Cricetulus griseus: one gene and its partners. The protein of the gene in region 2 interacts with the protein of the main gene of each other region in a pairwise test. Links are inferred from orthologs where the notes say so. Each region holds a gene or a part of one and is shown on either strand. Other genes may lie near its edges.

Region 1 (3,737 bases), on a different chromosome or scaffold from region 2:
TGCTGCTAGTCCCAGCATAGCACCGTCTTCCCAAGGTCAGAGAAAAGAGAGCTGGGAACAACCCATCAGCTCAAAGATCCAGGTAGACCCAGAGCCACAACACAGCTGATCCAGGCTACCCTGGTAGGGTGGTTTCTACCCAAGCACTCTGTAGCTGGAGTAGCCAGTGGGGTGGGTCAGCAAGAGGAAGACATCCACGCAGTGTCTGGATGAGCCTCCCAAGGACCTAGAGCCCTAGGCCCACTTCTTAAGCCACTAAGGGAAGAGGAAGCATAGTGGAAACCCCAAAATAGACTAAGTCTCACTCACAGTGGCCCTTGGGAGTACTGTGAGGCTAACTATGGCCCCCTTGTGGTAGATAGTCCCAAGCAATCCTGAGGCAAGACTGTTCATTACAAATATGGAGAGACTAAGGCACGGAAGGATGAAGACTTGTTCTTGGCCCCAGTTCCCTTGCTGGGGGGCATAGCCGATCAACCATGTCACCCACATCCAGAGGCCGCTGGTCTCCTAGGGTGTGATCAGCCCCAGTTCCCTGAAATGCAATACCCTGTCTAGTCAGGAAACAGTGTGCACGATGACAGATCGAGGATGTGGGCAGCCCGGGTGGCTAAAGACCTGGAAGGTGGGCATGACAGGCTGAAATATAGTAGGAACTGTGGAGGATAGGAAGACCAAAGGCTGGCCAATGCAATGGGTGGGAGCTGGCATTCTGGGCTTCCTGGGCATTCTGGACACAGGGCTTCCTAAAGTTAGATTTGAACCAGGGTCTGGCTGGTCCCTGGAGAAAGCAGTGCCAACGAGCCACTGAAGCAGAAAGCAATGGGCTGAACTATGACCCTGCAGGTCATGTTCCAGGAAACCTGGAACCCCCTAGCCTATCCCCCAGTGTACTCTGCCCGGGGGTGGGGGTGGGGATGGGGGTGGGGGGCGACTGTGGGGTTACAGCCTTGCAGCAGGCCCCAGCTGCCAGTCATGAGCCAGCCAGGCCTACCTCTAGCAGGGAGGAGACTTCAATATGCAGCCAATCCTTGTCCAATGAGAGCCTCTCCTGGCCTTCCCTGTGAGCAGCTCCAGCTCCAGTTGTGACCCCATGACCCTCCTCAGCTCAACAGGATGTTGTGTGTGCACCAGCATGGCCAACAGGAGGCCCAAGGCACAGGGCCAGACTAGGCCATGGAAGGCCCTTACCTGCACTCATCAATGCTGCAGCCTGTTTATGTGAGCCCAGGGCTGGGGGTTGGAGACCAGATGACTGAGTCTCAGCCCTGCCCCTCAAATAAGCCCTGGGTAATGAAGGGTATCAGGTATCTCTCTGGACTTGTATCAGGTATCAAGGTTCCAGGCTTTTCTTTTCTTTTTATGTGCATTAGTGTTTTGCCTGCATGTATGTCTGTGTAATGATACCAGATCCCCTGGGACTGGAGCTACAGGCAGTTGTGAGCTGCCATGTGGGTGCTGGGAATTGAACCCTGGTCCTCTGGAAGAACAGCCAATTCCCTTAACCACTGAGCCATCTCTCCTGCCACCAAGCTTGTTATTTTCTAATGAACGGGAGACAAGACTATTTCAAGGTAGCTGTGAAGACTTAGTTCAAAGGAGCTAGTAGGAAGATGGGGGTTTGGTGCCTGCCTGCTGCATGAACTGGCTGAGGTACTGAAAGCTGTGCTGTCTTGTCTCAGGCCCTTCTCAGCATGATGGGCAGACAATGGGGCCCAGAAAGTCTACAGCCATCACCATGGGCAGGAGATGCCTGAAGCCTGGAGCCAAGGGCAGCATCCACAGTGGTCCCCGAGGTCAAGGATGGGGCCTGGACAGAGTGCTTCTGAGGAGCTGGGGCAGTGAAGTATGAAGAGGAGGGAGTTCGCTGGCAGTCAGAGTCCTCTGAACTCAGATGCCCACAGTGGACTGAGGGGGAGGGAGACGGAAATCGATAGCTGGTACGAACACCCACTAAGGACAGTGCAGAGAGAGGAATGAGCCTTGCAGCCTGGCTGCCCAAGACACGAATGCAGGGGCACAAGTGGCTCTGCTGCCCTGGGGCCGAAGCTTCAGGGGAGCATGGCCTCTCGAGTTGTCTCTGTCCGTCCCCTTTGGTCTGAGGAACCTTAAAGGCAGCCAGAGCTCAGAATGCTCTCTTCATCCTAGACCTGTGATCCCAGATAGACCCCTCAAGATCAAGGCTAGGTGCTGTGTGGCCTTGCCCACGCGAGGAAGGAACAAGGGTAGAGGCTGTGCCTGCGCAGTCCAAAGTTTTCTGAAAGGATGACTTAGAACGGGAGGGTTGAGCTTCGGGGCTTCTGTGGCCAGGTAACCCAGGGTTGTCCAGAACCAGTGTCCCATGCTTTAGCCACATGTTGTTTAGGAGCTATCCCCTAAGTCCCAGTTCAGGGGAGACCAGGCCATCTTGACATTCAACCCAGGAAGGGTCCTGTCTTGCCAGGACCCAGTAGCTCTGGTTTGGGGCAGTGTATGTGAGAAGACTGGCCCAGCGGAACATAGAACTGTGGCGTATCCCCTGGGGCAGGATGGATAAACGTGTCCTGCTGTAGCCCCTGGATTACTTCAACTTGCCTCCACACTCCCTCAAGGGACTGGCTACTCTTTGGCTATGGGCCCAAGTGACCCTCACTAAAGCCAGCCTGTCAGTACTTCAAAATCCCATCCCCTACCCCAGCTGGTCTAGCTTCTTACCATGTCCACAGCTACCTTCATGGCCTCCTGCAGCCCAAAGAGCTTCCCGGCCACCAGGTACACCCCGCTGGTCCACACAGCACAGGCCTCATGTACCCAGTGTTCCTGGGTGTCCCCACCAGGCTCTGCAGGGGCCTCTTTGCTGCATTCATGTTTACGGCTCTTGTCAGCTGGGGCCACCTCCTCACCCCCGTCCCCCTGACCATCACAGCAATAGCAACTCTGCAGCCGCCGCGACAGGCCCCGGGCACTGGTGCGCAGGGAGCCCTGCTTGGCGGGGTCAGCTGGGCCATCAGGCCTGGACAGCCTCCCCAGGGTTGTGGTGGTGGTGATGGTGGTGATGGTGCTGGCTGCACATTCCAGGCCTTTCAATGTTCTCTCAAGAGGCAGAGAGGCCTCCTCAAAGGTGCCCTCCAGCCGCACCTTCTCCTTGAGTTTTGGTTTCTTTTTGGGGAGGCAGTGTTCAGGGTAGTAGGGGCCACAGAGGTCCCCAAGGTCCTTGAAGTTGGCCGGGTTTTGGCAGAGGCAGCAGACAAGGCAAGAGGTACTTAGGGCCTTGGATACCACAGGCCCCAGATGCATGGTGGAGGAGAGGGGCAGGGAGGGCCTGGGCTGCAGCACAGGGCCTCCAGGGAACGCGGTCAGAGAGGCCCCAGCTGGTTCTAAGGAGGAGGAGGAGGCAGCAGAGGAGGATGGCTTCCAGTGAGGCTTGGGCTCATCCCCTGGGGAGTTGACAACAGTGCAAATGGTGGTGTATGCGTCTCGCTTCTCCACCCGCACAAAGGGCGAGAAGGCTGGGGTGCGGCTGTCTGCCCTCAGCCGTTTACAAGAGGAAATGTATTTGAGTCGGATTTCAGGCTCTGCAGGATCCAGGGGCAGTACCTGCTGCTGCCGTCTCCGGGTGGCACGTCCCTTACAGGGTGAAGCATGGGTGGTCTTAGCCCGGCCACGGCTGAGGCGCTTCCGCTTTGAATAGCTGCTATAGCTGGCTTGACCTGGCTGCTTCTGTGCCCTTGTCTGGGGCTGGCAGGGCCGGCCTTCAG
Region 2 (4,428 bases):
CATTTGTGAGGTTCTAGTTCAGGTTCCAGTATCAGACATTCACCAAAAAGGTAAGTATGGCGGTTTCTATCCATCGCTCCACTGCAAACAAACCAGGCTTCACCTCCCACCTCTGCTCACAGCAGCAGCTATATCTTGTGCACAGACAGAGGCAGATACCTCAAAGGAGGGGGGGTTCAAGACAGGGTTTCTCTGTGTAGCTCTGGCTGCCCCGGAACTCGCTCTGTAGACCAGGCTGGCCTCAAACTCAGAGATCCACCTGCCTTTGCCTCCGGAGTGCTGGGATTAAGGTCGCACGCCACCACTGCCAGGCCCAAAACTTTATTCTTAATCCTTACCCTGGTGGCCTAAATTGAAGAGCAAGAAAGCAGCATTACTGGGGGGGTTGATGTCATCTAAGGGACATCTAGGTGACAGTGAGGAGCATAAAGAAGGTAACTCAAAAGCTTAAGGGAAAAGCCTGGCTTGATGGGGCACAGTCTAGAACTAGGGAGGCTGAGGCAAGAGGATAGGTGTCTGCTGTTTGAAGCCAGTCTGGGTAAGTTTGCAAGACTGTCTCAAAAAAACGTGAAGGAGACCTGGTTGTGGTGGTATACACATGTAGGATTTGCTGAAGGAGGTGGAGGCAGGAGGATCACAAATTCGAGGCTAGCCAAGCAGTGTTGACACACACCTTTAATCCAAGCACTTGGGCTGCAGAGGCAAGGGGACCTTTGAGTTCAAGACTGGCCTGGTCTATAGAGTAAGTTCAGGACAGCCAGGGCTAAACAGAGAAACCCTGTCTCAAAAAACAAACAAACAAACAAAAAACAGGAAAAGGGGGCAGGGGAGGAGGGGAGGGAGAGGGACCAGGGATTGACATATAAAACAATCTTGTTTCTAATTTAAATTTTAAAAAATTAAAAAAAAAAAAACAGGAAAAAAATAGTGAAGGAGGAAAGAGGAGGGGCAGTGAGGGACATGGCAGGAGCTTGAAAGAAGGACCCAGTAGATTCTGGGTCACTCCAAGGGCTTAGAGTCTTTCTGGGTTACATAGGTGACTCAGCATCAAGAAGGGCCGGATGGCTGGGTGGTGGCAGCTCAGGTCTTTCCCAGCACTCGGGAGGCAGAGGCAGGTGGATCTCTGTGAGTTCAAAACCAGCCTGGTCTACAAGAGTCAGTTCCAGGACAGCCTCCAAAGCCACAGAGAAACCCTGTCTCAAAAAACAAAAACAAAACAAAAGTCTATGTAGCTCAGGATAACTATGAACTGGAGAACCTCCTGCTTCTGCCTCTTAGGTACTGGAAATTTATCTACGTGCTACCACACCCACCTAGAAGTATGTTTATGCTTAGGCCAGGAATGGAGCAGCCTGGATAGGAGCAAGGACTCTAGGGCTAAATACAATAGGCCATCTCCCTGAACCTCAGCTTTCTCATCTGAAAAACTGGGGCAAGAGAATAAGGACATCAGAACTAGGCATGGTGGCACATGAGTGTAGTCTCAGTGCTTGAGAGGCTGAAGCAGAAGAACCATGAGTTAGAAGCCAGCTTTGGTTACACAGCAAGACTTTTATCTTAGTGTGTGATAGTAATCCCAGCACTCAGAAAGGTGAGGGTGGGGACCAGAGGTTCAAGAAAGCAAGTTCAAGACTAGTCTTCTCCCCCCCCCTCTCAAATTTAAAAAGAAAAAAGAAAGAAAATAGCTGTGGGTAAATGTGTTTGCAGCCACGTCTGAGGATGTGAGTTTGATCTCAGGTACTCTCATGGTGAAAGAAAGAAAAAAAAACCTCCTGCAAAAGTTATTGTCTGATCTCCACAAGCATACACACAAAATATACTACTACTAATATTACTAATAAAGATTCTGTCTCAATAAATACATTGGGCAAAGTGGTGCATGCTTATAATCCCAACATTTGAAGGGCTAAAGCAGGAGGATCTAGCAACCTGTCCACGTGAGATCCAGTCTAACACCCTTTCACCTCCCCCTCCCAAACAAAAGGGTGAAAGACACATTAAACCTAGCCGCGTTAATTCAGAGAGAGCTAATGTATACAGTGTCCAGCACCCTGGTGCTCAATAAGAATAAGTGAGCTCTGTAGGCAGCAGGACCCTGGTTCTACCGGAGATGCCTATCCGCTCCTCAGGGCGTTGCCACTGACACTGGCAAGGGGACTCTGGCGGTAGGAACTCACTGCATTCCCAGTCCCTGAACTGCATCATTTGGCGAGTTCTTTGCGTGTCCTGGCTTCAGTTCCCTCACTAGAAAAATGAGAGCAAACCATCCCTTGAAAGACGGGCACGACAGAGAAACGGGAGAGAGAGAGGGGAGACCGGGAAAGGGAGAGGATGAGCCAAGGAAAGAGGGAGGGAGAGAGGAGGGGGGGGCAGGACGGAGATGAAGGGATCTAGGGAGGGTGGGGGACGTACAGACTTGTGAACGAACTTGAGCTCCTTTAAGCCAGCGCTGTCGCAGGATCCCGTGCTGGAGATGAGCCGGCACGTGTCACAGATGCTGCCCCAGAACCCAAATCAGGGCGGCCCACGCCCTCTAGAGGCACCGGGTCGGGTCTCCTCCTCCCAAAGGAGCCCCGCGGTGCAGCCTAGTGTCCTGAGGACGTCCGGCCCGGTGGTGAGCGACGGGCCGGCGTGCCCGTGCCCGCCCCACCTCTTGCCTCGGTCTCTGGCTCTCCGGGCCCGTTACGCCGCGGAGCCCAGACCTTCACGCCTAAGGCAGGGCGCCTGTCCTCGTGAGCTCGGGCCCGCCTTCTGCAATCTCGCGAGGGCCCGGCCCGGCCCGGCCCGGTCCCTGGCCGACCCCCAAGACGTACCTGAGCTACGACTCATGCGCTTCTCCCAGCCCGGCGGCAGCTTCTCCTCGTCCGCCATCTTCCCTCCTGCCGCAGCGCCCGCCCCGCCTCCGCTCCGCCCCGCTCCGCCTCCGCAGCTGTGACCCCGCGCCGGCCCAGCGCCACTGTCGATTGGCTCGCCCGGCTCAGACGCCCGTTGGACGGCCCCACGGCGCCGCTAGAGCGCTAGCATTTTATTGGGCTCACTCGCGGCTTCCTGGACCGCCCCTGCACACTCTCCGCCCCCCCGTCCCGACACCGCCGCTGATTGGCCCACCTGGAAGCGTCGCCCATTGAACGCTCAGGATTCCTTTAAGCGTCAAAAGGTCTCTGCAACCTTCTTGGTGGGCTTAGCCCGCAGAGTAGAGCTTATTGATTGGCTCCTGCGGCAACCAATCCCGCCTTATTGAGCCGTTCTTGGAGGTCGGCCAGCCTCCACGCGGAAGCGGCTCGCTGGTAGGGAGGTATTCGGTACTTTTGCTGTATTTTGCCGTTGCCATAGCAATTCAGTTGCCTTGGTGATAAGAAGCCAAGTGCCCAAAGCCTAAATTTGGCTTTTTGGTTCTCTTCCCACCTGTTTCCTCCAAAGCGACGCCAGTCCTTTTTGGGTTTTGCAAGGCTAATCATTTCTTTCTTTCTTCTTTTTAAAGATTTATTTATTATGTATACAGTGTTCTGCCTACATGTAGACCTGCAGGTTAGAGAGGGCACCAGATCTCATTGCAGATGGTTGTGAGCCACCATGTGGTTGCTGGGAATTGAACTCAGGACCTCTGGAAGAGCAGGCAATGCTCTTATCCTCTGAGCCATCTCTACAGCCCCAAGGCTAATCATTTTACCCACTTTCCAAGTTTTCTTTAGAACCTACTTCAACTTATTCCTTCTCTGCCTGACTCCTTCCTAGGTTCCTGGGCTGGGCGATGGCATTATCACTAGGATGAAGAAAAGGAATAGGCTTAAGTCAATTGATAGTCTGTGGAGGAAACTGATGTGGTGGTGCATTCCCAGCACTCAGGAGGCAGAGGCCAGCCTGGTCTATGAAATGAGTTCCAGGACAGCCAGGGCTATACACAGAAACCCTGTCTCAAATGAAACAAAAGCAACAACCCTCCCCCCCCCAAGAAAAAGGAGAGAAGGAAAAAGGTCTGCGGAGGGCTACAGAGATGGCTCAGTGATTAAGAGCACAGACTGAGCCGGGCGTTGGTGGCGCACGCCTTTAATCCCAGCACTCAGGAGGCAGAGGCAGGCAGGCGGATCTCTGAGTTTGAGACCAGCCTGGTCTACAAGAGCTGTTCCAAGTCAGCCTCCAAAGCCACAGAGAAACCCTGTCTCGAAAACCAAAAAAGAGCCTGGACTGCTCTTGCAGAGGACCTTTTCAGTTCACCAGGTCTGCACATGGTGCACATTCATGTATACATGCAGGCAAAGCATAACACTTTACAAATGTTGCTTTATGCCAGTAATAGCAGCACACACCTTTAATCCTAGCACTTGGGAGGCAGAGGCAATAGGATCTCTCAGTTTGAAGCCAGCCCAGTCTACAGAGGGAATTCCAGGACAGCCAGGGTTACACATAGAAACCCTGTCTCTAAAAACC
Region 3 (3,737 bases), on a different chromosome or scaffold from region 2:
GCTTGCAAAGTCACCTAGTAGGAGGTTTCTGCCCTGAGATGGGCTACTCTGGTTTGTGCTAGGGAACACTTCCGATGCTACTTCAAATTCCACCCTCTAAGGAATCGGCAGTTCTCCCCTCATCATACACGAGACTGACTCACTTGCACACGGGGCACCTCCAGGTCCCCCGCTCACAGTTGAGCTGTAAATATGACTCCAGGTCAAAGCACTGCAGAGAGATAGAGAGACAGGTCATTCCTCACCATAAGTCAGTGGAGAGGGCTGTTCAGAATGTCTTCTGGAAAGTTTGCCTTGTTTGGGTATATATTTTTAAGGTATCAGGTTTCTACGGCAGCATCTTTTGTAGACCAGACTGGCCTGGAACTCACAGAGATCAGCCTGCCTCTGCCTCCTGAGTGCTGGGATTAAAGGTGTGCTCCATCACCGCCCAGCTACGACAGTTGTTAAAAGTTGTTCAGTGGCAGAGTGCCTGTCTAGCATGCATGAAACTCTAAGTTCAACCCCCAGCACCACCTCCAAAAAAAAAGAGGTTGCTTTCAGGACAAAAGAGCATGCAGGTACTTGGCTAACACTGGCTATTTCTGTAGACTGCAATTCTAAAGGTAGGCAGGAAGAAGGCTGCACCCATATCCTTATGCCTTTTAAAAATGGAACCCCATGAATACAGTAACCAGCAAAATATAGGGAAAACTGTAGTGGGTGTGGTGGTGCATGCCTTTAGTCCCAGCATTTGGGAGACAAAGGCAGGTAGATCTCTGTTTGAGGCCAGCCTGATCTACATAAAAGAGTTTTCCAGGACAGTCAGGGCTACATGTCACAAACAGTCATACTTTATAGGAAAAATTATGGCTGTTTCAAAGGAGCAAGACTAATAATCTCAGGGAAGGAAGCAAGGAGGCCATGCCCCTGTGGAGGGTCTGCCTTTTTGGTCTGAGGAGCTGAGGTGCTCAGATTCCATCTGCCAAAGAGGGTAAGGCTGAAGGGTCAGCACCAAACATGCCTTTTTCCAATACTTGAGTGCAGTGGTGTCTGCCTGGGAGCTTGGCAAGTGGAGACAGGAAGATCAGGAATTCAGGGTCATTCTCAGCTACATAGTGAGTCTGAGGCCTGCCTGGGCTACATGAGACCCTATCTCAAGGGGAAAAAAATGTCAGACAGATTCTCACTATGTATCGGAGACTTGGCCTCAGCCCCTGGGGCTCTGGAATTACAGGTGTGTATTATGATACCAGGCACAAAACATTTCTCTAAGTTGCTGGTAAACATGTTTTACCAGCAATCTAAAGTGATTACTGGTTACAGCTATGGACATTACTGTATATGTTTTAGTTGCATAAATGCTGGAAGTAGAACCCTTCTTGTGGATCATGTGTTTTCTTTTTAATGCTACTAAGAAGTTTTCTCAGTTTCTAGTTTAGATTCCACTCAATACTGAGTCAGTCTTCTGGGTGCTCCATAAACTCAAAGCATTTTAAGGGCAACAAAGGTCTACAGGGACCACAAACCTGTATGTGGCGACAGTCGTGACCACGGGCTGGGAGCTGGATCCTGCGGAAGGTGATGGGGCACTTCAGGGACACCTTGATAGCCGTCTGCTCCACCCCATCCTCTCCATTGGGCCCAGGGGTGCCAGGGATGGTGCCGCTACTGAAGTTCCGCTTTACTGACATTGACAGGGGAAAGGACTTGAGTAAAGGTCTCCAACATTCTGAGGCTGTGAACTGGTGCACCAACCAGGGACCCAGTCATTGCTCAATCAATGTCTCTTAAGAGTTGCCTGGAGGTAACCAATGCCCCTTGGCCAGAGCCACCTGTCTGAGAGGAAATGGCCTCTGTGCCACAAGGTGGGGTTCAGCCTGGGACAACCCAGATGGCTGAGGAGTAGGGACCACTCACTCTTGGTGATGCAGTGCTCAGCAGGCAAGAGGCGCTTCTTGAGGAGGCCCTGCAGCACAGAGCGGACAGATGGACGGTGCACCAGTTGCAGCACGAAGAGGTGGGACTGCAACAGAGTGAGGGATGTTATATGGAGAGTGGGGAGGGCTGGAGAATGTAACATAGGGTTAGAAGTTAATTCAAGGGGTACCAGGCAGGGAGGGCTGGGGTTAGCATGGAAGGAAGCCAGGCCAGCCACCTTCCTAGCAGCTAGGTCCTCCTGAGTGCTGACACACAGGCAGGCAGGCAGGGACTATGAGCTTCAGCCACACTGCACTACCTCATGCTCTGCAGGGCACTTTGCTCCAACCACTGTCTAGTTTTCTCCTCTGTCAAACCACAATCACCTCAAGTCCCTGGCACAGTCCCCTGCTTATCACATCCACTCTCCTGACATGACTTGATATCTGAGCCTTCCTATCTCCAGGCCCCTCCATCATGTCAGGGTGGCTCCTGATAGCCTGCAGCTCAAGGTCTAGTTGGGATCCTACCCACCAGAACCTCGTGAGGCCCAGGCCAGTGCAGGTGGCACATCTCCCATGAGCTTCCTGTGCTTGCTCTCTGACATAATTAACATGAGCATTAAATCTGTCCAATGGAATCTAACTGGAAAACAGAGTGGATTTAACTGCCTCTCTTTTCTGAAAAGGCAGGACAAATTAAAATAGAAACAGAAGCAGCACCTTGTTCTTCAAGGATAAAGACCCTCCCCCACAAGCTGCCAAACCCACAGGAGAGCTGCTGGTCTGGGTGTGCCTCTGCTGGCCCCAGCCTGAACCCTGGCAGACACTACCCACAGCCCCACAGGCTACCCACGCAGCAGCAGGCGGTAACGGTGATCTGGATGGTGTTTCGACCTGGCTGGCACACGTGCTTCAGGTAGAGGGGCTTGTGTGAGGTCTTATTGTCTCCACGCTCGATGCTGAGGGGTGTGGCGTTGACGCTGACCTGCACGGATGCTGGCCAGTTGGTGTTCATCTGCCGGTCCTCATGATGGTAGCATTTGAACTGCAGCTCCAGGTCAGGCCTGGCAGGGAAGAGGATAACAGGAGCCCACATGGTGCAGGCAGGACCCAGGGGCAGGATGGTAGCAGGACTCACCTCAGCATCAGGGTCTTGTAGACAGAGTCTCGGAGCTGGAAGACATGGTTGCTCACAGCCAGGTTGTGCTGCAGTCGGAAGGGCTCCAGGACCACCCCATCTCGAACTGGGAAGGTCAGGCGCAGCTCATCACAAGGGCCACTTCCTGAGGGCAGAAGTATGCGGGCCATGAGTTTGGTACCCTTCCAAGGAATCTTGGCCCTCAAGGAACACTTCTGCACATAGAGCCCCAAACCCTAACCCAACACTTGCCAGAAACTCTCAAGAGGGCTGAGACACCCACACATGGGTGCTCCAGTTAGTGTCTCTCCTCAGAACTTGGGCCCACGGTCTGTGTTCTATCCTGTCTTGGTCATTCAGCAGTCTGGACCACATTGTGAATAGTCACAGGACATGCTTCCAACCTAGGAAGCACATCCCGACTGGGCCACCTGCCATCCTCTTATGGTTCAACTTGAAGTTTTAGTATCTTAGCTGCTTCTGCAGGAATCTCCCTGCAGGCATTCATAGCCAAGGATGGATATCTGAGGGCCATTTTGGGTGAACAGACATTTTTCTGGACAGAATATCCACAGCCTCCATGAGAGCTAGACAGGGCCATTAAGGGAAACGAGAGGGCCTGCTATGACCCTTCTGCTTTGTATGAAACTGGGCCTTGGACTTCCAAGCTGTCTGTAGGACTCTCTTGAGTCCTGATT
Region 4 (4,515 bases), on a different chromosome or scaffold from region 2:
AAAGACCACCTAGCAGTTGTCCTAAGCCAGGAACCTTTCTCAAGGAACATCAGAGTTTACCTGGTCATGCAAGAAAAAAAAAAATCTGGGCAGTGGTGGTACATGTCTTTAGTCCCAGCAGGCAGGGGGATCTCTGAGTTTGAGGCCAGCCTAGACTACAGAGCCTGGACTACAGAGCGAGTTCTAGGACAGGCTCCAAGACACAGAGAAACCCTGTCTCAAAAAACCTAAATAAATAATGTACCTAGTCAAGGATAATGGAGGGAGAGGAAGGAAAGATGCCACGCCAGGTGGTATAGCGGGTTGGCCAGAGCCAGGAGAGAACCCAGTGTATGGAAAGCTGGCATTTACATTGGTTCCCGAGTTCTCTAGCAGGCTCATGGGCTAGTGCCTTTCTGACCCTGTAGAACTGGAATGCTGGCACAGGAGAAGGTGGGGTAAAAGTCTGGGCCCCTTGGAGGACAGGAAGGCACAGCATAATGAATGATGGTCTTTCCCTATGATAGAGGATATATAGCAAAGTTTTTAATTTTGTTCTTAATCAAAGAAAAATACATACCACCATGATTACCCACACAGACTATGGGAACCTCCTGGGCTCACAATCCCATACTCTTGAACAAATTACTGAGTCTGGACTTATTTCTAAAAGAGATAATGCTCAAGTCACAGTGCTGTTTTAAACATGCATGTCACACATTTAGCACACAAGTTAAATAGGATCTGTTAAGAAGTAACAGTCACACACACACACACACACACACACACACACACACACACACACACACTAGGAATGATGCCACCACAATGGAACCTCCACCCAGTCTCCCTGGGTTCCTTGTTGAAGATTAGAGAGTGACCAGAGTTTGGTGGTTTCCAGTACAGTGCCTCCTGCGACTTTGCTGAACCTGAAGGTGATCCCCAGGAAACATCAAACTGTTTTCTGTACAAGGTCAGAAGATGCTTAGATGTGAATGTTTGATGAATGACTGCAGGGGCAAAGGGACAAGCCCCAAACTGAATTCTGAATGATGTGTGGGTACCTGGCAGGGAAGAGGTGGAGTGAGAAACTGGCTGTGGACAGGGATTTCTCAAGGGAAAGGGGATGCCCCGTAGAGACCAACAAGGGTGAAGAGTGGAAATAAAGGCAAAAGTCCTACATGTTCAAAGAAACAAGTGAGGGGGCTGGAGAGATGGCTCAGAGGTTAAGAGCACTGGCTGCTCTTCCAGAGGTCCCGAGTTCAATTCCCAGCAACTACATGGTGGCTCACAACCATCTGTAATGAGATCTGGTGACCTCTTCTGGCCTGTAAGCAAACATGCAGGCAGAACACTGCATACACAATAAATGAATAAATCTTAAAAAAGAAAGAAGGGAAAGGGAAAGACAAGGAAAGGAAAAACAACCAGCAAAACCCAACTCTCACCTGGAGCCTCCCTAGGAAGGGCATGAGGTGTGAATGTGGGCATTGCATTAGGCTCCAGGTTCTCCATTTCATTGACTTGGATATGGATCAAACTGTCACCTCTGCCTTCATTTTTTGTTTTCTATTTCTTATACCCATGACCTCCAGAGTTCCAACTGTTCCATTCTGGGGCTACCATGCATCACTTTCCCTAACAGTAATACTGGTCTCCGTTTTCTCACGGGACTGGGGCTCTAAGTCTGTGGAAGTTAAGAGCAAATGGCACAGGGTGAGCTGTGGCGTGGAACACACTGAGGCTATGGGCTGCTTATGGGCTGTATCCTGGATCATCTGTGCCCCACTCCCAAAAAGTGGTGTGTGTGTGGGGGAGACTATCCTCATCTCCAACCACAGACTCACTGTGCTAGGTAAGCCTTGCTGCTGCTTTTAATTTTCTGAGACAGTCTCATGTAGCCCAGGATAGATTAAATAATCAATCATATTAGCTGGCTGGCCTCAAACTCAACAGTCTCCCTGTGTGTGTCACAACACCTGGCTTGCCCTGTGGGCTTTAATTGTAGCACTAGATTGGAGAATACAGTTTCTAACCTATACTGTGCCATGAACAGATCATGAGACACCAAAATGTAGCCCTAAAAACATAGTGGCTCACACCAATAACCCCAGCACAGCAGGGGCTAGGGCAGGAGACCCTGGGCTAGAGACCCTGTCCAGAAAAAAAAAAAAAAAGGAACCTTAAGGGACCACCTAACTCAAATCCAATTTCTCACAGAGGAACCTGGAGTCCAAAAAGATAAAATAACCTGCTCAATCATACAGATACTTGGTGGTTTCCTCTTCTTTCAGAGGCACAAAGAATAAATCAGTAGTGATTTTCATGATTCACTGTCCCTCCGCAGACAGTCCACAAAGTGCTTCAAGGTTTTAAGAGGCACCCAGAAAAGTAAGGCTGGCATTCATTTTTCTGGAAGCCTGATTATGCAAACCCCTTAGATGCCCCATTATTTGACTACAAGGGCAGGCTTGGAGTTGGTTTTGCCACCATCTGCAGATGCCACCAAGGCTCGCCCCGTGGCTGAAGGACTCTCTCCCATGTTTCCTTGAAGACTGAAGCCAGGAACTGCTGAGAGTCAAGGGAATGCTGTCACACTGCCAGGGCCCAGGGGCAATGGTCAAATTCCTGGGGTTAAGCAAGGCAATTTCGGCTCAGATAAAGCTAGGGTGGGCAGGGCACGGGGACCTGAGGTGGTAGGGCCAGTGAGAGGGAAGCAAACCGAATGACTTCACTGGGCTTCCTAGCCCAAGGAGGCTTCACTTTCCAGAGCCCTTCTGGGCCTCTTATCTCGAGTTCCTTCCGCTTACACCTACCTGCCATTTTCCACCCTAATCTCTTGAGTTTCACAGACGGTTTCCAGCCACCTCGACTTGACTCTCTGGGACCGCCCTCCACCCATCTGCCAATTGTGGTTCCCGGGTTCCTGGCGCCACAGTCTCCCCCCACGCCTGGGTGCCACTGTTTTGTCCCTGCTGTGGCCAGCAGGAGCCTAGTTCAAATAAAATGGATCCAGCCCTGGGGCTCCGCGGCTCCGGCACCACCAGGGTGCTCGGGCCCAAGCAGCGCGTAGTCCCGGCCACCGTTGTTGTCCCAGAACTCGCGGCCGGTCACGCGGTAGCGCAGGGCGAAGAGCAGGGCGCCGCCGACCGGAGGCGCCGGCAGGCGGAAGGAGAAGCGGTCAGCCCGCGGCGGGGCCGGGGCAGGGCCGGCGTAGGCGGCGGGCGACTCCCGCAGGCTGCGCCAGCCGTCCGCGCTCCAGCGCACGCTCACGCGCTTCTCGTAGGCCAGGTCCAGCACGCGCGCGCTCCCGGCCACGCCCAGCGGGCCCGCGTCGGCGCGCTCCAGGCAGATGCGCTGCGCCTGCAGGCGGGCGGCGAAGCCGGGCTCCAGGGCGGGCTCCAGGGCCACGCGCGCCTCCTGAGGAGAGAGGGCGGGGAGGCGGGTCAGAGGAGGGCTTGGAGCGCGGAGGCCGAGGTCCCGGGGACGGGGGCGGGGCGCCTACCTGGAGGCCGCGGGCGCGCGGCGGGCACGGCGCGAAGTGGCGCAGGGCGTCCCTCTGCAGTTGCACCTGCACGTGGCGGGGCACCCGGGGCGGCTCCCCCGGGCGGAAGCGGCGGACCACGACCAGCTCTAGCCCCAGCGCGTCAGCGAAACGCACTCTCTTGCGAGTGTCAGGGCTGCGGCTGCGGGCTGCCCGCGCCCCGCCGCCACCTGCGGGCGCAGAGCGGGCCCTGCGCCCCCGACCCGGAACGTGAGCCCGCGAGCGGGCGCCGGGCCGGGTCCCGCCCTCCCCCGGCTCCTCCTCCGACTCCTCCTCGAGGCTGGGCCGCTGGCTGCGGTAGTAGGCACGTTCGGTCAGCGCTGCTATAAAGCTCAGGTTGCGAGGGATGTCGGTGCGCGGAGGCCGCTCGCGGGACATGGCACCCCTGCGCCCCAGCGGGGCCGGCGCACAGTGCCCGCCCGGCGCGTCCTCACTCGGCCACCCGCTCCGCGTCCGCGCATAGGGCGGAAGGCTGCTTCGGCAGCTGCTAGCCCTGGACTCGCCTTCTTGCTGTCACCTCGCGTTCTTGGCCTGGCGGGTTTCCTTGACCACCTTTCCCTGCCTTTGGCGGTCAACCCCACTGTCTTCTAAGACTGTCGGTCCTGCCGGCTTCCCGCTGTCTGCTCTGAGCGTGCGCTCAACGGCGCTCTCCCTTCGGTTCTGCGGGCCTCGCTGACCCGGCCCCCGCCCACAGCCCTCTGACAGGTGGCTCGGCATCTATCTTCCCTGCTGCACCAGGGGGCGGGACTGACTCCACCCTCGGGGTCCCAAATGAGTAACTCCAGTATGAGAAGGGTTAAAGCGGGGAGGAAAGAGTAATCCTTCATTTTCTTGCATGGAAAGTTCAAAATGCCGAGAGGCTAATTCTCTTCCCCAGAGCTCAGTGTTTTCTTAAACCCAGGCTACAGGTTTGGGATAGAGGTGAAGATGGGCGTAGTGAAAAGAAAGGCCGCGAATCCTAGGTTAAGTCTTCCGAGTGGAAAACGCCAAAG
Region 5 (3,737 bases), on a different chromosome or scaffold from region 2:
AATTAAATACACTGTTTTGTTTTTTGAAGACAAAATTCTTGCTACCTAACCCATTGGTTCCTAGAGTCTCCTGGCTCAGCCTATGCATGCTAGATTCCAGGCATGCACCACTACCTACTATGTGATATTCTATCTTGCTGGGTTTGGAGTTTGTGGGGGATTATTTTTTTTTGGGGGGGGGAGGTTCCCAAAACAGGGTTTCCCTGTGAAGCCTGGCTGTCCTGGAACTTGCTCTGTAGACAAGGCTGGCCTTAAACTCTGATACCTATCTCCTCTGCCTCTGCCTCTGCCTCTGCCTCCTGAGTACTGGGCTAAAGGCATGCGCCAACATACCCAGCTCATTCTGCTAGGTTTTAATAAAGATTTTTATTTACACATGTGTAAGCCTAAAAGACTTTACATGTGCCATCTACATGTAGGTGTACAGAGGCCAGAAGACAGTGTTGGGTCACCTGGAGCCAGAGTCACAGTGGGTGCTGAAACCAAACCTGGGTCTTTCTACAAGAGTAGTAAGGGCTCTTAATCAATGAACTGTCATCCCTGCAGCCACTATCTTGATGTTTTTGTGTTCATGCTTTTAAAACTAAATTCAATCTCTGTGTTTTCAAATCAAACAACTATATTTTTCTGTTTCAGGGAGGAGGGGAAATAGTTTTTCAGTAACTACTGAATTACAATACTCCTTTAAATTTACATCTCTCATCCTTTGTTACCAAAATGATCCTCAAACCATGTCCTCACTATTTCCAAGGAAATGTACTGTTGCAATACTAACTGAAACCAAAAAAGGAACTCATCCCATAATGAATATGAAACTTCAAGGCACCAAATGAACTAACACTAAAGACATAAAAGTGACAGACAAGCAAAGAGACAGCAGAACAATTAAGATCACTGGACAGAAATAACAAATGTATGCAGACTTCCTAATACTTATGGAGTGCTAAGGGAATATTTAAAATCTTTATTAAGAGGAAAAGCCATCTGTAGGAGACTCTAGACTCAATAGCCAGAAACATACTCATGGTGGGTGCATGTGCACACACATACAAGAAAACTCTCTCTAATTCAATGACAAACTGAATTCAAATTGACAAAAGAAAACAAAATAAATGATCACTAATGCTTTACCTGGGAAGACGCTGGGAGGAGATGGAGTAGGAACAGCGATAGGAACGCCCACACTCCCACTTCCACTGTTCTCCCGACTGCTGCTCCGACTACTTGGGTGGCTTCCTCCACTACTCCCACTGCTGCTGAAGAAGTAAGAGCCACCAAAGTGAGTATAGAGAACAGGAGATCAGGATTGCCATGTACTTCTGAAATGGACATTGCCACAAGAAATAAAATTCAAAAAGCTTCCATTTCAAACATGAATTCTTAATAAATAAGGAGAAAAATCTGAGTTCACTGAACTTGTTTTGATACCTAATTATGAGATCTAATAAATTTTTAAAAAACCCTCTGTAAATGTAAGGGCAAATTGTTCATGCTTAATACATTAAAATAATATTTTATATCCTGGTTTAATACCTATCGAAGAAACTTATAGTAAGTTTTACTAGATTATTTTATTTCAGTTTGTAATGGCATGGTGATATACTAACATTTTAATATGGATAGTTTTTCATCTGTAAATTTCCACCAAAAAAATTACTTGCAATTTTCATTCCTGGTTAGTAACATTTTTTAATTAAGTTTTATCTCTGTTGGTAAGTTTCTACTTTAAGATGTCTTTTTCACCTTCCTGACTGCTCAAAGTTGCATCAGAGCATGAGGAGAGAGAAGAAGAATCAGATGAGGTTTGGGAGAGTAGAGTGAGAAAAAGAACTTAGTGCTTGGAAAATGAGAGAGGTTTAGATTTAACTGAAGTTATCTCAACAGATTATGGTACTCTGACCATCATGTTTTGCGCTGAGGTAGAGAAAATACCTGTAAGTTCGATTTCTTTGATTCACAGAAGCTGTCCTCACAGGGCTCTGCTGCGAGGGAGCCATATTACGGGTTGGGCTAGGTACGTAATCATTTGGTACCACTGGAGGACGCACTGGCTCCAGTGTGCGATAGGGGGAGTGCCGCCTACAAAAAGAAGAGCGTATGTATTGTGTGATTAATCAAGTTTCGGCACAGTAAATTCAGAGTTGCCAGTGAAATACAACTTGTAAGCAGAAATAGGAAATGTGGTTTAACCCAGCTATCAATTAGTCTTTCCTACAGTACAACTCTTCCACCATTACAGAGAGTTCTGGTGAATATGTAGTGTAAATTTCAGTGTCCAACCTCATTTACCTGTGCTAATGTAATTTTGTTCATTTATTCACAGAAAACACAAAGTTTCCATTATTTAAGCCAATGTTTTCTAGATCTACTCTTTTCATAGAAGAATTTGAATTATTTTAGATTCATGTCAAAATCTCCCAAATGTACTGAGTGAATGCACTAATTATCTTCTTCTCCTCTCTCTCCCTAACCAAAGATATTTATTAATATTAATACAGATGACAAATCTATGTTTTTGGAGTCACAACCTCCACATGATGATTAATACCAGCCATAACTCATTCCCCTTTTTATACACTAAACACACAGAAATTAAAGACGTTGGTACTTCAAAATACATAACTTCACTTCATTTTCCACTTTTACAACCTTTCTCCTTCAACTTCACCTCAATTTCTTTGCTATTTCCTCCTCAGAGGTCAACATTGATAGGAAATTTTAAAAGACTACCTATGTCCTTCTATCTTAGTTAAACTGTAAAACCCAAACCAGACAATGTTACTAACAAGTTGTTTCCCTTTTTCCAAATTTTCCTTCCAAAGAAAGAAAATGAAAAAACAAAGAAAAGAAACAACAGGCTATAAAGTGCTGCCCGGAGCACTGCCTGGCACTCATTCAAGTCTTGTTCTCAAGGGGCCAAATCCTTCAGGGACAATGACATCTTGCAGTTGAGATTAGGTCTTTAAAAGAATCTGACATCCCAAGATATGAAAATTTGAAAGTTTTCTTCTCTTGCAAGAGAATGCTGCTCATGTGGCTCTTGTATCTCTCAGTATTTCACTCCCAACCAGGTTTCCAGAGTTTCTTTAAGTACTGCTTTCCTGGCCACTCACTTTCACTGACTTTGAACCCGTTGGTGGCCCTAGAACTCTGGAACTCTCTTCTCAAAATCACAGAGATCCACCTGCCTCTCCCTCCCGAGTGCTGGAATTAAAGGGCTGTGCCTCTACCGAACAAATGAGATTATTTTCAAAGGCACTGTTGCCTCTGCTTTCCTTGGGTATTGCTCAATAAACAATTAACAGGCCGAGCGCTGTTTTTGGCACATGCCTTTAACCCCAGCACTGGGAGACAGAAGCAGGCAGATCTCTGTGAGTTCAAGGCCAACCTGGTCTACAAAGCAAGTTCCTGGACAGGCTCCAAAGCTACACAGAGAAACCCTGTCTTGAAAAACTAAAAAGAAAAACAAACAAAAAATTAATAAACAAAACAATTAACAATTCAAAATAAGTAAAAGACACTATATGTGCTATGTCAAAAGGAAATATTTTTAAAAATTCAAGCATATTTGAAATTACAATACATATATAAATCTATGTATGCATATATATCAGAAAATTTCTAAAGTCTACTTTTGACAATGTTTCTCACACACTAAAATGTTCCATTCTATCTTCACTAACTGTGAGATATACAGAATATCAATGATACAAACAAGGTTAAAAAAAATTAAACAG
Region 6 (3,737 bases), on a different chromosome or scaffold from region 2:
TTCCAAACTGCCTTCCACACATACTGTAGTCTTCAATGAAAAATGACCTCAAATTGGGCGCTTAAAAAACAAATGGAAACATCTTAAATCAGTGGACATCACTACCTGTTAATAGTCCATGATTTGTATCAATCCAACCAGTAAGCTTTAGAGCACATTCTGCTTAACCTATCATTTTGAGGTACTCCCTACGTATTCCAAAATAGACTGGAATTCTCATGGTATTAAGTACTACAAGAGTCCAATTAAAAAGTCCCTTTAAAAAATCACCCCCACCTCCCAACCCCATCATCACCCCAGATTAAACAAACAAAAGGGAAAAAGTGGTTAAAAGAGCTCTTGCTGATAACTTCAGCTCTTGATTGTGCCATTTAGATGAGATATTCCACCATCTCTGCGTCAGGTTCTTGACCCAGGATCTGAATGGGTGCTTTTCTTTCCAGAGTACTGCAGTGGAAAACAGGAACATCTAAATGGAAATGAGAGGGTACAGAAGTATTAGAGATAGTTTTTTTAAAAAAACAAAACAAAACAACAACAAAAACCTTCAAAAAGTGCAACCAGGTACATCCCCATCATCTACTTCACTGGGAAAATGGCCACTCATGACCATTTCCATTTTAGTGAATGGGAGAAAACCTTTCCAGAAGTTCTTCTTTTCTCTCCTCTGCCCAATCCCTATTACATCAGGAAACATTCAACTCTATCAAAATGGCAGGCACCAACCAGAAGATACCTGCTACGAAAAATTGGAATTACCTGGCTTGTCTGGGTTGCACATCAGATTTGGTGTGGACAAACGGCGAGGTCCAGAACCGGTACCTGGACTTGCAGGACCCTCAGCCTGAGCCAAAGCTGGAGTTGGAGTTGGAGCTGGAGTAGGAGCTGCTGTCGGAGCTGGAGTTGATGCTTGAGTCGGAGTCGGAGCAGAAGACTGAGCCGTTGCTGGAGCCGGAATCGGAGCGGGAGCTGGAACTGGAGCCGAAGCAGCTGGAGCAACCTGAACAGCAGTAGCAGTGGCAGCAGCAGCAGCAGCAGCTGCAGCAGCAGCAGCAGTAGCAGCAGGAGGAGTGGGAGAAACAGTAGCAGAAGTAAGAGATGAAGCAGCTGGACTCTGGACAGCAGCAGCTGGAGAGACAGCAGCAGCTGGAGAGACAGCAACAGCTGGAGAGACAGCAGCAGCTGGAGAGACCGCAATAGCTGGAGAGACAGCAGCAGCTGGAGAGACAGCAGCAGCAAGAGCAGCAGCATTTGCCGGAGCTGGGGCAGCAGCAGCAACAGGAACTGGAGCAGCAGCTACCATGATAGTGGTGTTGGTGGCAGCAGTGGCAGTGTTGGTGGCAGCAGTTGCAGTGATGGCAGCAGCAGTGGCAGCAGCAGCAGCTGGAACAGCCACCGGGATAGAGATGGGAGTGACAGCTGCGGTTTTGGAGGGTTCAGAGCCACGTTCGGTTTGGGTGCTGCAGTCTCGACTGCCCGTCTTCGAGTGAGCCGAGAGCAGGGGAGTAGATGGAGGCACTGGCGAAGGCGTGGATGGGACAGACTCAGCACGGTAGTCTCCACCCAGAAGAATGCCTGCCAAAGAAGCAAGGGACAAGAGAAAAGTAGGTGATTTCCTATCTAGATACTGATTAACTATTCACCCTTGTCGGAATTCAGGAAGAGAAAATACTTGACATTTTTCTTTGAAAAGTGTTTGGTTTTGCCTCTAGTGTTGGTTTTGAACTTAGAGGATCCCTTCTTCTCTTCATTTTCCAGTTCTTAATACAACATATTAACCCTGTCCTTGGTACCTGATAGATATCTCCCCCTCCCCCAATTGGGGACGATAGCAGATCAACATGTCAGAGTTCTTTTGTGTTCCAGTAATATTAATACCCTACATTACTAGAGAGGTGGAAATAACCCCGGGGTATGGGTACCTGTGGATATCCATGAGTGCTTTTAGTTGTGTAACTACAGAATTAAACATGACAGTGGCTTCCAGAATGTTTACTCTAACTAAAGGATACTGCAAGAGGCAGAGGACCAAGAAAGGCATTAAAGACAAAAGGGTTGAAATATATATTTGGTTGCTTCCTCGGTTTCAAAAATGTGTCTCAATATCTATGGGCCTCTGAGGCTTTAATTAGAGGGGGTGAAATGGGCAGGAATTAAAGAAAAAGCACATTCTGTTCCCATATCAGAACACTGCCACCTCACCTCATTAGCTTAAAGAGAACTTTGGGTCCTCTTTCTGTAGGGGAGGAAGGAAGGAACACAGTGAGGCTGTAATTTTGAATTTTGCCTGAGATGAAGTCCATTTGATTTTTGAACAAAGTTCCCATGTGGCAAAAGCCAAATCTGAGAATTTTGCACATAAAATTCAAGCTATCTTCCTTCCCATCCCCAAAGAACTCAGGATTCTCATTTTTGGCCTCAGTTAATATTCTTACCATGAGACTTCAGGGCTCCTGGCCATTCAACTAGTTCCATCAGGGAAAAAAGTAACCCCAAATTCTCTCTAGAACCAGAATCGTTGTCTCTTTCCCTTGCTGCGTGTGACACAGGCAGGGCACCCTCTCTCTAAGTCTGTCACTGTGCGCGTCCCTTATTTGTTCTTATTTTCATTACCTAGGCTCCCCTTCCAGCTTTTGTCATCTCGCTTCTCCTCCATGATGGGGGTACCAGTCAGGGTAGATGAGTGGGCGAGCAGGCCTGATCCAGCATTGGAAATGGACATCAGAGACTTCGCTGGTCTCATGGATGACAGCTGCTCTGTCTTACTTGGCTCCTTTCTGGAGCGCTGCTGCAGCACTTTGATCATGGCGTCCTTCTCAATAATCTGGGCATGGAGGCTCTTAATCCTAAAAAGCCCAAAAGAAAGCACACACAGAAAGTTACCTCTGCATTCTGATCTCACTGCCTAAATGGATTTGCATTCCCTTTATCTTTTCAATTAGGTCTTGGTCCAGTTTATTCTGAGTTGGAGGGAAGAAGGATCCATATGTTAGAGCTTTAAAGAAAAAAAAATATTGCATCCCCTGGACTGCCAAGTAGATGCAAGAGAACGTCTAAGAGCTTCTGCTGACACATCAGAAAATCCAAGTCAAATATTGGCAAACAGAAAGGCTATATAGGAAAGATGTCACGCTTTGTTGAAGGAGCTCTTCCATAGTAACAGGAAGTTCAGTGATAAGATGGAGTCTTCTACTAAGACATGACCTCCAGGTAACAAGTAAATGACACTGAGTCTAAAGAAGACATTGGGTGGGCTGGAGAGATGGCTCAGAGGTTAAGAGCACTGACTGCTCCTCCAGAGGTCCTGAGTTCAATTCTCAGCAACCACATGGTGGCTCACAAACATCCATTATGGGATCTGGTATCCTCTTCTGGTGTGCAGATATACATGGAAGCAGAATGTTGTATACATAATAAATAAATAAAGTCTTTAAAAAAAAGAAGAAGACATTGGATGCTGTATTTCCCAGTGTGAACAGATGTCGTGAAGTCAGCTGCATTACAGAATTGAGCTGCGGTGCTATGAAGAATACCTCAGAGTAGGAACGCTAAAAACTCAGATCTAGCAGAATACAAAATCCAGGGGAAAGCAACCCTACTGGGAACTGCTTTGTTAGTAAGAACGTTCTAGAAAAGTCATCACATCAAATCCTAGGTAACCGACTGGCAGGGGTGAAAATGGAGGGATCAGGGAGCAGGCTACAAAATCAAGGTCATCACTTAAGAATAAACTTTCT
Region 7 (4,252 bases), on a different chromosome or scaffold from region 2:
CCCGGCAAGGTCTACCTTCTTCCTTGCTCTAAGATCTGCCATACAGGTCTTTGGCAGGTTGGGAAAAAGTAACCCCGAAGGACAAGCCAAGGACAATCTGGAAAAGAGGGAATTGGAAGCCACAGACAGCTAAATCTAGAGGCGATGCTGACCAGAAGTGAGGGCACCAGAGAGACATCCTAGAGGGGTTTCTTAACCTTGAAGCACACCTTAACTAGACCCTCTATTGAGGTAGGGGGCTCCCAAGTGGAGGGGCCCAGGGACAGAAAGACCCTGAAGAGGATAGGATCCCTACCCCTCCACGTCAACTATGCACGCTCAGGTAGCAGGGGCTTTAAACTAAGGTTCCAGGTCACTGTCCTTTGACAAGGGCAGTAGAAGGGACTTGAGGCATACTCAGGGAGAGTGTCTTGATTTGCTCTCAGGGATGCAGGAACCCTGCCGTGGCAGTCTCCTCTCCGCCCGCACACATAACAGCTGGCCCATGACCTCAAGGTATAACAAGCCTTTCCAGTAACTAGCCTCTCTGGGGTGAGGAAGCCATGGCCACCAGCTCTAGCCACTCTGGACCAGGCCTAAATCTTTTCCAATGAGAGACCTACCAGTCTAGTCTTCAGCCCTTAGAACCTGCTGGAAGGGAAGTTATTTACTACTCAGGAATAGTAAAAACAAAAAGCACAAACACACGAGTCACTGGCAGAGGACCCTACCAAACCACAGGGTGGGAATACAACCAACAGAGACACCCCATATACACCCATGGCCTGCTTTTCCTGCTGTAGGCTGCTTACCTGGATCCTTCCTGGGTGGGAGGATGTGGAGGCTGCTTCCTGGTGTCCAAGATGTCCCTCAGGGGCCTGGGCTGGAAGGAGGGGGCTTGGGGATACTGAGAAAGACAAGGAGACGGGAAGGAGCATCAAGCTGTGGTGACTGCATTGGCCTTGGCTTGCCTCTGCCATGTGGCATGGTGCGAGGTCAGTCTTGTCTTGTTGCTTCATAGGAATCCACCTTTGTAATCTCTCCAGGGTCCCTCTCCCAGCTGGGGACATGCAGACTTATTTCAGGAGTCCCAGCCCCCGACACAACCCCTCCTAGGATACCACATCCCCCACCCCACACCCACACACAGAGATTTGAAATTCTGATGTTGTCACCCCTCACCTACCCGTCTCCTGTCCATCGGCGCTGGCTTCCTCCTTCACAACCAAGTGGATCTGGGTAGATCTGTCTAGGCTGGAACCCTGTGGTACTTCCTCCGAAGGGCCTGCCTCGGAGGACTCCGTTGCTACTGAGACGCTGCGGCTCCCGGAAGATTCCTTTGTCCGCTGGACTGTAAGCAGCGTCTTTGGTTTCAGGATGTGGGCTGTGATCTGAAGAGAAGCCTGTCACGGGGGGCTCTACCTTCAGTCTGTCCTCCTGAGCAGCTAATGCCATTTACACTCACCCAGCCCAGCAGCTGCCCAGGATCAAGCTGCAGCCCCTCAACCAGGGCTGCAGCCTCCTCAGGGCTTCCTGGTCGCTGCCCTCGCACCCAGGCCTGGATCTCAGGGGGCAACACGCCAAGGAACTGCTCCAAAACCAGCAACTCTATCATCTGCTCTTTGGAGCATGACTCAGGTTGCAGCCATTGGTGACACAAGTCGCGAAGGCAGGACAGGGCCTCTCGGGGCCCCTCTACCTCCTCATAGCAGAAACCCCGGAATCTGAGTCGCGCAGCCTCAGGCTCCTCAATGGTGGTCTCGGAGTCCCCGAGGGAGAGGTGTGGGGGACCTAGAGGAGCTGGCATTCTTGTTTTGAAGGGTCTTTTTGGAGCTGTCAGGAGGGACCTACAGGAAAGGAGGAACCAGAGTGTCATCTAAGGCCAAAAGCACACACCAGACCCCTCCTAGAAGCCAGGAAAGAGAACCCCAAGGCCAGGAGCGCTTCGAGGAAGGAAACGGGAGGTGCAGGTCCCAACCTGGAGGGTGCATGGATGATAAATGCCTGGGTGGAAGGTGTCCAAGGGCCTTCTAGGAAACTTCCATGGCTGGCCCAAACCTTTGGGACTACCAACAGAGGACTACCGTGGCTCCCCCAGCCGACAAAGGATCAGGGGGGCACAGGTAGGACCATCCTTCAGGGCGACCTGGAGCCCTGGAGGCTTCAGTCAGAAAGCAGATCGTGTTGGTCTATCTGAAGAGTTGGCTCTGGGGTCTGGGTACATCACCCGGGACAGTGCTGAAAGCCTGGGCCAACTCCCAGGGGCCTATATGAGCTTGGTGACACTGCTCACCGACAAAACCGTGGGTGCCTCACACTACGCCTAGGAAACGCCCAAGCAGAAGCCAAAGCAGACAGCCGTGCATCACGTGGACATGTAAACTGGAACCTGTGTCCCAGTCCTTAAGAGGTTCTGGGTTGAAACCGGCTCTCCTGGGGCACCTGTAGAGTTGGGGGTGGGGTGGGTGTCAGTTTCTGACACAGCAAAGGAGAGGGAGGGTCTTTCAGGAGGAAGGGGACCCCCGGAGTTCTGGGTTCGAAGGCTGGGGGCAGTGGGGCGCTCCTCGAGCTCGGGGGGGGGGGGAGCCACGAGAAGCTGGGCCCGCCCAGTCGAGCAGCTCGCTCACCTCTGACGCCTCCTGGCGCCCCAGGAGCTCGGGGCACTTCCGGGAAGGGAGGCTACACCGCTCGCCCCACCGCCACTCACTACCGGCCTGGCCAATCCTGCACCGGCCCCACAGGCACGGCCCCCTCCGCGCGGACTACATCTCCCGTGAGCCTCAGCAAGGGGGAGCGCGCGTTTCTCGGGCCCCTCGCGCGCCAGCGGCTTCGTTCCGTTCCTCTCCTTTGGAGCCCGCGGTGTCGCAGAGTTCCGGGGGTGGTGGTGGTGGACGGGGCTCCCTCTCCTGACTTGGCGACCCGTTCTTCCTTGGCACCCCAGCCGAAGGACTCACCCACTGCGGACCCGGGCTGCGGGACCGTAGCCTCCTTGCGCATGTGTGCAGCGCGCCTGGCTCCTATTGGCTGGTGAGGCGTTCTGCCCAATTAGAGCCGGGCGCTCAGCTACGAGAAGGGAGCATCGCTCCGTGTGTCTCCTAGGTAACAGCGAGCGCACCTCTGCGGTTGCCAAAGCAACGCTGTAAGCGTGGCCTTGCGGCCGGCCGAGAAGACCTAGGTGCGAGTTCCAGAGGATCCCGGTGGGAGGCAGCGTTGGGCGAGCACACCCAGTATGGCCTTTGTTATAGTCCGTTAAGTAAATAGGCCCATGGGTGGGCGAGCAGGCGTTCAGAGGAGGTGACCATGTGGTCACCCCCTCTTTAGATAGCGGTACTACTGCAAATGGAGATGGAGGGTTCTGTCTGAGATTATGAGACACACTCAACTTTTAATTTGGAGGCTGCAGTTAGACAAGGTGGCCCTTACTCATTTTTTTTTCCCTCTCCAAAGTCTTTTGGGAAAAAGGCTTTTTAAAAATAAAGTTAATGGGGTGAGGTGAGGGGCTGGAGAGATGGCTCAGAGGTTAACAACATTAGCTGCTCTTCCAGAGGACCAGAGTTCAATTCCCAGCACCCACATGGCAGCTCACAACTGTCTGTAACTCCAGTTCTGGGGATCTGATGCCTTCACACCAACGCACATTTAAAAACAAAGTTAAATTGTTAAAAAAATAAAGTTAATGGCTTTTATTTGTTTGTTTGGGGGGGGTAGGGTCTCAAGTCCCCAGGTGGCCTGGAGCTCACCGAGAGATCCTGCAGCCTCTGCCTCCTGATTGCTGAGATTAAAGGTCTGAACCACCACACACAGCAAGTAAGGGCTATTAAATTTATGTGCACATGAGGTTAATTTTGTTTCCACATACCAAGAGTCTGAACCATGATAGAATCATTCAGTCCTGAAGCGGATCTGTCTATTCTGTTTTGTTTTGTTTGTTTGTTTGTTTTTTTTTCTGATTCCTGAGAACCCCCTCCTCGGCTGCCAGCAGCTAGCAGTGAGCAGCAGTTCTCCACATCTGAAACTCTTGAGCAGTTGTGCGGGTAGAGTTTGTCAACTGGGTTTACCAGCTGAACTATCTTGGGAGATGAGGTCTTTCATAGATTCTGTGGACAAAGCTCTCATACCCACCCAGTGGGGAGAGGCTGGGCTTTAAGGGACTTCCCAGGCAGCTGTCCTCTTGGAAGCAGCTGTCCCTGGAAGCATCTCTGTTCTAGGGCTCCCGTCCAAGGTTAGCTGGCTCCCAAGCCTTCTCTGTGCTTCAGGGTAGACCTGATTGAAT

What was found.
Region 1: the proteins of Pin1 (region 2) and Rai1 interact in binary tests that used the Homo sapiens proteins (3 or more experiments, as listed by UniProt). The two-hybrid records come from large-scale screens. The link is inferred for Cricetulus griseus from reciprocal best matches to the Homo sapiens genes PIN1 and RAI1.
Region 3: the proteins of Pin1 (region 2) and Zmiz2 interact in binary tests that used the Homo sapiens proteins (3 or more experiments, as listed by UniProt). The two-hybrid records come from large-scale screens. The link is inferred for Cricetulus griseus from reciprocal best matches to the Homo sapiens genes PIN1 and ZMIZ2.
Region 4: the proteins of Pin1 (region 2) and Homez interact in binary tests that used the Homo sapiens proteins (3 or more experiments, as listed by UniProt). The two-hybrid records come from large-scale screens. The link is inferred for Cricetulus griseus from reciprocal best matches to the Homo sapiens genes PIN1 and HOMEZ.
Region 5: the proteins of Pin1 (region 2) and Abi2 interact in binary tests that used the Homo sapiens proteins (3 or more experiments, as listed by UniProt). The link is inferred for Cricetulus griseus from reciprocal best matches to the Homo sapiens genes PIN1 and ABI2.
Region 6: the proteins of Pin1 (region 2) and Amot interact in binary tests that used the Homo sapiens proteins (3 or more experiments, as listed by UniProt). The two-hybrid records come from large-scale screens. The link is inferred for Cricetulus griseus from reciprocal best matches to the Homo sapiens genes PIN1 and AMOT.
Region 7: the proteins of Pin1 (region 2) and Znf446 interact in binary tests that used the Homo sapiens proteins (3 or more experiments, as listed by UniProt). The two-hybrid records come from large-scale screens. The link is inferred for Cricetulus griseus from reciprocal best matches to the Homo sapiens genes PIN1 and ZNF446.

Annotation. Positions count from the first base shown.
Region 1 is NC_048600.1:74,322,954-74,326,690, reverse strand, and holds part of Rai1 (retinoic acid-induced protein 1), read right to left. Parts: coding exon 2,695-3,737; intron 1-2,694. UniProt on the Homo sapiens protein: Transcriptional regulator of the circadian clock components: CLOCK, BMAL1, BMAL2, PER1/3, CRY1/2, NR1D1/2 and RORA/C. Positively regulates the transcriptional activity of CLOCK a core component of the circadian clock.
Region 2 is NC_048597.1:133,534,033-133,538,460, reverse strand, and holds the start of Pin1 (peptidyl-prolyl cis-trans isomerase NIMA-interacting 1), read right to left. Parts: upstream 2,951-4,428; 5' UTR 2,872-2,950; coding exon 2,814-2,871; intron 1-2,813. UniProt on the Homo sapiens protein: Peptidyl-prolyl cis/trans isomerase (PPIase) that binds to and isomerizes specific phosphorylated Ser/Thr-Pro (pSer/Thr-Pro) motifs.
Region 3 is NW_023276807.1:98,474,849-98,478,585, forward strand, and holds part of Zmiz2 (zinc finger MIZ domain-containing protein 2), read right to left. Parts: intron 3,185-3,737; coding exon 3,040-3,184; intron 2,966-3,039; coding exon 2,755-2,965; intron 2,006-2,754; coding exon 1,900-2,005; intron 1,667-1,899; coding exon 1,509-1,666; intron 212-1,508; coding exon 144-211; intron 1-143. UniProt on the Homo sapiens protein: Increases ligand-dependent transcriptional activity of AR and other nuclear hormone receptors.
Region 4 is NW_023276807.1:210,071,433-210,075,947, forward strand, and holds the start of Homez (homeobox and leucine zipper protein Homez), read right to left. Parts: upstream 2,977-4,515; 5' UTR 2,803-2,976; coding exon 2,796-2,802; exon of another isoform or gene 499-2,795; intron 1-498. Other genes in the region: protein phosphatase 1 regulatory subunit 3E, read right to left, coding at 2,977-3,399, 3,485-3,901. UniProt on the Homo sapiens protein: May function as a transcriptional regulator.
Region 5 is NC_048595.1:414,686,091-414,689,827, reverse strand, and holds part of Abi2 (abl interactor 2), read right to left. Parts: intron 2,080-3,737; coding exon 1,933-2,079; intron 1,257-1,932; coding exon 1,132-1,256; intron 1-1,131. UniProt on the Homo sapiens protein: Regulator of actin cytoskeleton dynamics underlying cell motility and adhesion. Functions as a component of the WAVE complex, which activates actin nucleating machinery Arp2/3 to drive lamellipodia formation.
Region 6 is NC_048604.1:35,485,520-35,489,256, reverse strand, and holds part of Amot (angiomotin), read right to left. Parts: intron 2,847-3,737; coding exon 2,614-2,846; intron 1,576-2,613; coding exon 760-1,575; intron 470-759; coding exon 372-469; 3' UTR 1-371.
Region 7 is NC_048602.1:25,556,312-25,560,563, reverse strand, and holds the start of Znf446 (zinc finger protein 446), read right to left. Parts: upstream 2,925-4,252; 5' UTR 2,607-2,924; intron 2,422-2,606; exon of another isoform or gene 2,273-2,421; intron 2,266-2,272; exon of another isoform or gene 1,958-2,265; intron 1,827-1,957; 5' UTR 1,787-1,826; coding exon 1,445-1,786; intron 1,371-1,444; coding exon 1,166-1,370; intron 887-1,165; coding exon 792-886; intron 1-791. UniProt on the Homo sapiens protein: May be involved in transcriptional regulation.